2 linked regions of the Callithrix jacchus genome follow. The protein of the gene in region 1 purifies or fractionates together with the protein of each later gene. This does not show direct contact. Links are inferred from orthologs where the notes say so. Each region holds a gene or a part of one and is shown in the gene's direction. Other genes may lie near its edges.

Region 1 (4,420 bases):
AGGACAAGGTGGGTGGATCACTTGAGGTCAAGAGTTTGATACTCAGTTTGTTCAGCCTGGTCAACACGGTGAAACGCCATCTCTGCTAAAAATACAAGAATTAGTAGGCATGGTGGCATGTGCACCTGTAGTCCCAGCTGCTCAGGAGGCTGAGGCACAAATAGTTTGAACTCAGGAGACAGAGATTGCAGTGAGCCGAGATTGTGCCATTCAGCCTGACTGACAGAGGCTGAATAACAACAAAAAAAGAGGTGACAAAAACAAACTTCTTTGACCTAACCTTCCGCTAATATAGCTAGATGTAGATCTTCAGCTGGAGAAACCCAAGGCCTGAGAAGCTCGGTGTCTCTCCTGGATTAGTAGTGTAACATATGGCCCTAGAATTAAGTAGCCCCCAAATTTGTGTCTGGATTCTCAGACTCTGGAAGGAGAACCTGGACTCTTCTAGCTGTGTGCTCTTGGACAAGTTACTCAACCTTTCTGAGCCTCAGCTTTCTCCTCTCTACAATGAGATAATTACAGTACTTTCAGAATTAAGTGATAGTGTAGGATGTGAGAGATCACCTCCAACCCTCTTTCCCCTCTTCTCTTATGTGAGCTCTTTGGTTGGATCTAGGAACCAAATTGACACAAGGTAGATTAACAAGAGAAAAGCCTCCAAATTAGTTTTACATGTACACGGAGATCTTCACAAGAGAGTGAAATGGCCAATGCAAGATGCCTTTATACTTTTTAGAAGAGTATACTTTATATGGCAAATCTGAGAAGAAAGGGGATGTGGCTAGGGGCAGTAAATTTCTTGTGGAGTCATTAGGAGAAACGTGTGTGTGGTGGGGTGTCAACTCAGTGGAAGACAAGGGTTACTTCGGAAAGTATATTCAGGTCCAAAGCAGCCCCCAGTTTCCAGTCTCCGGTGATGGGTGATATTTTCTCCCCCTGGTAAGGGACGAGTACTCCAAAGGAGTACTGGAGGAAGCTTTATGGCTTGCTGCATGCAGGAAGAGATGGGTCATCAAACACTTAGTGAAACTACAATTTCTCCAACATTTTCAACTCGAAATAATCAATGTACCAATTCCATATATTTTGGATGGCACATTCATCAGTCCTTCAATAGAAAACTAAATAAGATGATGCCCTTGCTTCCTGCCTGGCACAAAGAGCTCAATTAATACCGCCCACGCTCTCATAGCTATGGACATTAAGTAACAGAACCTAGCCTTAAGCCTCGGTCTCCTAATTCCTGTCCTAGTGTTCTTCCCAACATACCGCAACCAATGCTTCTTAGAACAGAGCACGCCAAATGCCCCGCCCACTCTATTGGCCTCACCCTGGCGGAGATGTACGCCCGCAGGTGCTCACCGACAGCCGTCAGAACTGCGCCTGTGCGAGCGGCCTTCATCGATTCGCGACGCGACGTAACGCGCCTGCGCACTGCGCCCAGCCTGTCCTCTTTGACTTACCCAGAAGGCGACGCTTCGCTTTCTGGTCATAATGGCTGGCCGGCCGGCTGGTAAGTGATTGGCGGGGGGTGGGAGGGGGTCTTCCTTGGCGGGCATAGTCGCGCTACACCTTTTATTTTCGCAGCAGTTCGCTCCGTTTTCTCTCTTCTTTGTAAATGGCCAGGTTTGTCGCGGAAGGGAAAGTGGTGGCTTCAGTTCAGCCGAAAGTACTTGCCTCCCCATTCGTTTGCTGTCCCCAGGCCGGGCTTGCCTGTAGAGTTGGGATATTAACCCGCTGTTTGTGGAGGTGCCCGCGGTGGCTCTGACAGCCCTGGAGTTCCAGCTGCAGGTGTTCGGCATTCCTTCCCGTCGGCCTTAGAAAAGTTCAAGGGCACAAGGGGGTAACTAGTCGATGACTTTGAACCAGAATGAGCTCAGTGCTTTCTGTGACCTAATCGCTCTGTCGTGTGCATTGGCTGAATAAATTCTCCTGCCAGTGCGATGAGGGAGATATTAATTTCCTTTCTACGCTGATGAGATAACTGAGGCAACATAACCCAAGGAAGTAGAATTAGAAACTTCATTGCACCCCTCGCGCTTCTCAAATTGCGAATTAGAGGCTGTTGAGCAGGGGATACAAGCAACGCTTCAGGTTAACCTTGGATTATCTGGAACGTCAGCTTAATCAGTAGATTTGGAGAAATTTACTTATTGGAGGTTCAAATGCATTTATTGTGGAATAGAATGCAGATATTACTGGAATACTTAAAACAAAGTGAACCTTAAGTTGGGTTTTCCCTGGGTTTTTTGTTTTTGTTTTTGTTTTTGCTAATCTCTGCCCACTGGCGGTACAAATTAGAGCAGTTTTTAAAAAAATACTGATCTTTTCCTCCCCTTCTCCAGCACCTGTGAAGCTGTTAGGAAACAGCAAGTTGCCAGAAAAATCCGTTAACCTAATTGGCGTTGAGCTTTTTAGGGATGGGGGGAGACTTTTTAGTAATTATTTTATGAATTTGGCAGCTATTGTGGGAGTCTTACTAAATTCAAAACACTGCTTCTGTGCTGTGTTTGGGAACCATATAGACCAGATCTCAACTCCCATTAGCTAACTCTTCTGACCTTTGGTGGGATCACTTCTGTAAGCCTCCTTCCCCTTCTGTAATAACAGACATGTAAATAAATCAGCTAATGTTGGTAAAGCAAATAGGAAAGTGCTTGGCACACAGTAAGTGCTTAGTGAATATTAATTATTATCATAGTCACTGGTAGATGTTTAAAAATAATCTGTCTTCCAGCCAGGCGTGGTAGCTCACACCTGTAATCCCAGCACTTTGGGAGATCGAGGCAGGTGGATCACGAGGTCAGGAGTTCGAGACCAGCCTGGCCAGTCTGGTGAAACCCCATCTCTACTGAAAATACAAAAATTAGTTAGGCGTGGTGCGGGCACCGATAGTCTCAGCTACTCAGGAGGCTGAGGCTAGAGAATCGCTTGAACCTGGGAGGCGGAGCTTGAGTCAAGATCACTCCACTGCACTCCAGCCTGGGTGACAGAGTGAAACTCCATCTCAAAATAATAACAATAATAATAATCTGTCTTCCACAAGTATGTCTGTAGATTGTTGACTCATACTTACTTTTCTAGCAGCAGTTTTATACATGACTCTTAATTTCCAAGGAGATTTACTGAAGCCATGTAATCCGTAGTGCACTGAGTGTGCAGGCAAGGACAGTTGAGTGAGAGTTTGCTTTCCTTTTTGGTAAGGGGCTAGCCCTAGACAAAATTTTAAAAGAAAATTATACTTGTTCTACCTCCCCCTTTCTTTTTTTTTTTTTCTTTTTTTTTTAAATTTTTTATTGGATTATAGGTTTTGGGGTACATGAGCAGAGCATGCAAGACAGTTGCGTAGGTACACACATGGCAGTGTGCTTTCTTTTCTTCTCCCCTTCACCCACATTTGGCATTTCTCCCCAGCTACCTCCCCCTTTCTAAAATGTCTCTCCTAAAATGTCAGGTACTGTCATGCTGTCCTTGGACCCTGCTGGGTTACTTCATCAGGCTCATCCCTGCTCCCCAAAGAGATTTAAAATTATTTATTTCTCCTCATCCGTTTTCAGTATCCATTCCCTTGGGGAGAACTTAGCTGCTTAAGAGGAGGAAGATGGACTTCTTTTACTAATCCACATTAATGTTTAAATGACTAATGGTATCAAAATTCTCCCCAAAATACATAAATGTTTAGAGAGTGTGGCCAAGTGAAATAACTAATGTTGAGTAAAAATTTTAGAGGATGGGGGTCATTTAGGCCTGCCAGCCTCTGCTGAAATCTCAGTCTCTTTTCATACAACTCCAACTCCTTTGAAATGGAAAGCTTTACAATTATTTCCGGTGATCTATTTATGAAACTACAAATAATAGAAACATCCAAGTCCTATTCCTATCTCCCACCCCTTCAATTTTGAAGGTAATGGGGCTATAAGAGGGCACGTGATGTACCTGTAGATCTTTTGTACATTCAGTGTTTGAGTTTAACCTTTTCTTCCATGACTTGCCACCTAATTTTTTTTCCTGCAGCCACTTTTGTTCATAAGTAAAATAAGCATTTTTTTTATCAGCAGTGTATAGAGTGTAAACTTTTTTCTTTTAAATCAAATTCTTTTTTAATTAAATTCTTCCTATATAGAGTATATACATTTAAAAGGAAATTTCTATGTTTGTATTAGCAAGATAACTATGAGTACTGGTTGCTTCCCTATCAAAGTGTTCATATAGTTTAATTCTGGCAACTAACAGTGTGACAATGATCAGTTTCAGCATCAAGCAGGTTGCTGGAGATTATGCGAAAATGGTATTACAATGCTGCAGGATTCAATAAACTGGGTAAGCAGCTGTACTTTCTTTTCTGTTTTCTTTTTTTTCTTTTTCTGAGAGCATTGCTTTTACAAGTGTTACTGTGGTTCCAAAAAAATATTTCAGTTCT
Region 2 (4,585 bases), on another chromosome or scaffold:
GAGAAGACTCCAGGGGATTGAAGGAGGCCAAAAGGAAGGACCTGACCTAGCCCTGGAACAGGAGACAGCTGATTTGAGAAGTCAGATAGGCAAAGAATGTTTCAGGCAGAAGGAACAAGAGCAAAGGCCCAGAGGTGGACGATCTCACACCACTGCTAAAAACTATCAATGTGGGCCAGGCATAGTGGCTCACACCTGTAATCACAGCATTTTGGGAGGTTGAAGCAGCACAATGGCTTGAGGCCAGGAGTTGTAGACAAGCCTGAGCAACATGGAAAAACCCTGTCTCTACTAAAAATACAAAACTTAGCTGGGTGTGGTGGCGCATGACTATAATCCCAGTTACTGGGGAGACCAAAGCAGGAGAATCGCTTGAACCTAGAAGGTGGAGGTTGTAGTGAGCCGAGATTGTGCCACTGCACTCCAGCCTGGGCAACAGAGCGAGATTCAGTCCAAAAAGAAAGAAAGAAAATAAAGGAAAGAAGAGAAAGAAGAAAAAAGGAAGAAAGGGAGGAAGAAAAGAAAGAAAGAAAAAATTATGTAGATCATTTATTAGGACATTGGCTTTAGACTAAGAGTCAGACCAGTATTCCTCTGGCGGGGTGGGCATATTGCAGAAGGCAGCTGGAAGCCAGGAGGCCAGGGAGTGTGCTACTGCAACAGTCCAGTCTGAAGGTGATGGTGGCTTGAACCAAATGGGCTAGAGGAAGATATGGATATACTTGCAGGAAAAACCAACAGGATTTCTAGGTCAGCTATCCGGTATGAGAAGGATCAGAGAGTCAAGGACTATTCTGTGGCCAGAAGCACAGAGTTAGTCATTTTCCCAAAGGGAACCATTTCTGCCAGACCCTTCGTAGATCCAAGCTTTTTTTTTGGGGGGGGGGAGACAGGCTGGGGATTTCCAGCTGTCTGGAATCCCCTCCCACATAGTAGGAGCTCTCTTTCCCCCTCCTGGATTTCCCTTCCACACTCTTCGTGGAAGTTTTCTCTCTTCTTTTTTCTCTTTTCTCTCCTTGAATAAAATCACCTTTCTGCAACAACAACAAAAGAGACAGGCTGGTCAGGAGTTCGAGACCAGCTGGACCCACGTGGTGAAACCCCGTCTCTACTAAAAAATACAAAAATTAGCCGAGCGTGGTGGTGGGCACCTGTAGTCCCAGCTATTCGGGAGGCTGAGGTGGAGAATCGCTTGAAGCCGGGAGGCGGAGGTTGCAGTGAGCCGAGTTCGCACCACTGCCCTCCAGCCTGGGCCACAGACTAAGACCCTGTCATAAAATTAAAAAAAAAAAAAAAAAGAATTCCGAGTCACGGCACCAAAAAAAAAGAAATTTTTTAAAAAGAAAAGAAGTACCTGACGCAGAAAAGCGTTCAATAAATAATTATTGCATGAATTAAAGTACTTTTGCTGAGACATTTTTCCCCACACCGACCCTCCAGCGCATCCCGGGATCTGCAACGCATTCTCCGAGTGAAGACCCGGAGGTGATAAACACCTGGGCGTCCGAGCCCCAGCCGCGCAAGCTCACGACTGGGCCAGGAGTGATAATAAACAAGCATTCAGCCCAATAGAAAGTCGTAGTTCTCTTGCTGGGCGTGACCTGAATGGCGTCGTTGGCCACCTCCTGGGCGGGAGCTCTAGCCGTCCGGAAGACTCCCCTATACCCCATCTCGCTCAGCTTCCGGCTGGCCTTAGTTCCGGTTCCTGTCCGACTCTGGAGTCTTTGCAGAGGGTCACATTGAGCTGCAAGGTGCATCGGGGGTGCTTTTAGGTGAGTGTGAAGGGTTCTGGAACCTGGAACCCCAGCCTAACGGGCTGAGGATCTGAACCCTAGCTTCCCCGAGAACGGGTTGAGGCTTCTGGCTGGCGGCGTCCAGCCTCCCTGGGCCCCGGGACCCTGTTGTTCTGTTCTTCGTAAGAACTAACAGTGATATAACAGGAGTTCTTCCTTGATGCAAGGCAACATCCCAAACAACTTAAATTATTCATTTAACTCTCCCACCAGAGAGTTCTAAGACAGGCCTGGGATCATCCCCTTTTGACAGTAAACAGGTTTGGAGATACCAAGGGACCTAGCCGAGCCTACACGCGACCAGGATTTGGCCCAGGAGTTTGTCCTCCAGGGTTCATCGCAAATTCAGGGGCGTGGCCTCCCGCGGCTTACCTGGGCTGCAGCCTGACTCCCTGGTGTTCTGTCAATCCTCCCTTTTGGACGTGGGAGGGGCCGCAGCGTCACCTCCGAAGCACCCTCATCCTCAGATACCGGCTCGAGATATCGCCGGTAACCATCCTTCTGATTGCATCTGTGCCCCAGCGGTGGTGTTTTACATACACCCCACCTCCCCATCGAAAGACCGTTTTAGTGCTCCAGACCCCCACCACCACTTTGCATCGCTTGAATTTGACGCTGCTCTGCAGGTTTCTGTATAGCCCCACGACTCCTGGGATTCCCTCGAATATAGACACTTTCAGGTTCCCGACGAACATTATGTGTCACTTCTTCAGAGACATTATATTAAAGATTTTTAACCCTCGGTCTGCAGAGTTGGAAGAATTCCAGGAATGTATTTGAATTGGGGTGACTGTGTGGAATTACCCCAGTATTTGAATTGGGGTGAGGGGGTGGAATTCTATCTGTGTATTAACCTTTTGAGGCAACAACCTCGTTAGTACTAGCAGCAGCTGTGATTTTGTTAGCAATCAAAACCATAGATATTTTTTTCTCCTTTTTTGAGAAGGTCTCTGTGTACCCAGGCTGGCATGCAGTGGAGAAATCTTGGCTCACCGTAACCTCTGCATCCCCGTGCAAACGATCCTACCTCAGTAGCTGGGACCACAGGCATGCGCCACCACACCTGGCTAATTTTACTATTTTTTTGTAGAGATGGGGTTTCACAAGCTGGTCTTGAACTCCTGCGCTCAAGTGATACTCCTACCTCAGCGTCCCAAAGTGTTGGGATTGTAGGTGTGAGCCACAGTGCCCCACCTAAAATCACAGATATTCTTATATCACATTATAAATGCAGATGTCACAAAATACTATATCCACTCATGGTTACTTGAGTGAGGTTGCAGGGGGTCTTGCTCTGTCACCCAGACTGGAGTGCAATGGTGTAATCTCAGCTCACTGCAACCTCCACCTCCTAGGTTCAAGCGATTTTCCTGCCTCAGCCTCCCAAATAGCTGGGATTACAGGCACCCACCACCACACCTGGCTAATTTTTGTATTTTTAGTAGAGACAGGATTTCACCATGTTGGCCGGTCTGGTCTTGAACTCTTGATCTTAGGTGATCCACCTGGTTTGGCCTCCCAAAGTGTTACGATTATAGGCATGAGCCACCGCACCTGGCCAGAATTGTATTTCTTAATGAATCCTCAGCTGGATATAACTGGTTTTCTTTGTGATACTATTCCAGTTTTTTGTTTTTTTTTTTTAACTTCTTCATGTACTCATGGAACCTATGCAATGTTGTAATACATTTAAACATATTCAGGCCAGGTTTGGTGGCTCGCGCCTGTAATCCCAGCACTTTGGGAGGCCAAGGTGGGTGGATCATCTCAGGTCAGAAGTTCGAGACCAGTCTGACCAACATGGTGAAACCTCGTCTCTACTCAAATGCAAAAAAAGTAGCTGGGTGTGGTGGTGGGCACCTGTAATCTCAGCTATTCAGGAGGCTGCGGCAACAGAATTGCTTGAACCTGGGAGGCAAAGGTTGCAGTGAGCCTAGATCGCATCACTGCACTCCAGCCTGGGCAACAGAACAAGGGTCTGTCTCAAAAAAAAAAAAAAACATATTCAGTGAGAGGTTTATGGGATTCGTGAGACCACTGAGGAGTCTGTGGCACCAAAAAGATTAAGAACCTTTGCAGTGTAGATTATGCCAAAAATGGAGGTAGCCCACCATTTATTTTTATGCCAGATAACCTTAGGAAGTCACTTAGACACCCTGTTCCTTCCTCGTCTGGGCAGTGGTGATAGTAATAGTTCCTACGTTCCTACTTTTAGAGCAGCCGTAGGAGTCAGGTGTGTAGAACAGCACCTGGCATGTAGTAAGCATTCAGTGTTAGCTCATGTTATTTGGGAACCAGGCTTGATTTTGCTGAGGAGTCGCACCCTAATGCTGCCACAACTTCCACGCACAGATGTGTGGAGCGCCCTGCCCCTCATCTCTGCATATATGTTGAGAGGCAGGAACTTGTTCACACCCCCACCATTCTTCAGTGCCTCCTCTCTTCCATTGATCCTGGGTAGTCTGACTTGCTCGGGGCCCCTGCCAACACCCACTCCTTTCATCTCCAGGATTCAGCACCATGGCAGAAGAGATGAAGGCCAAACTTAAGAACTACAAGACTGCCCCTTTTGACAGCCGCTTTCCCAACCAGAACCAGACCAGGAACTGCTGGCAGAACTACCTGGGTAAGCAGGACCTTTCCCTGGCCCCACACCTCTAGTCACTCACCTCTTGCCTCTTCCTAGGGGACCCATCCATCCCAGCATCCTCCCTTTTCTTCTGGACATCCTTCCTCTAGGGGACCCATGCTTCTTATCACTTGCTCTTCAGGTCCAGGCTTGGGTTACAAAC

Evidence for each region.
Region 2: the proteins of UQCRB (region 1) and COX6B1 purify together in Homo sapiens (affinity purification with mass spectrometry; 3 studies listed by BioGRID and IntAct, counting the BioPlex papers as one, with this or other methods). This does not show direct contact. The link is inferred for Callithrix jacchus from reciprocal best matches to the Homo sapiens genes UQCRB and COX6B1.

Annotation. Positions count from the first base shown.
Region 1 is NC_133517.1:31,005,281-31,009,700, forward strand, and holds the start of UQCRB (cytochrome b-c1 complex subunit 7), read left to right. Parts: upstream 1-1,480; 5' UTR 1,481-1,494; coding exon 1,495-1,513; intron 1,514-4,248; coding exon 4,249-4,320; intron 4,321-4,420. UniProt on the Homo sapiens protein: Component of the ubiquinol-cytochrome c oxidoreductase, a multisubunit transmembrane complex that is part of the mitochondrial electron transport chain which drives oxidative phosphorylation.
Region 2 is NC_133523.1:31,848,754-31,853,338, forward strand, and holds the start of COX6B1 (cytochrome c oxidase subunit 6B1), read left to right. Parts: upstream 1-1,694; 5' UTR 1,695-1,772; intron 1,773-4,302; 5' UTR 4,303-4,313; coding exon 4,314-4,419; intron 4,420-4,585. UniProt on the Homo sapiens protein: Component of the cytochrome c oxidase, the last enzyme in the mitochondrial electron transport chain which drives oxidative phosphorylation.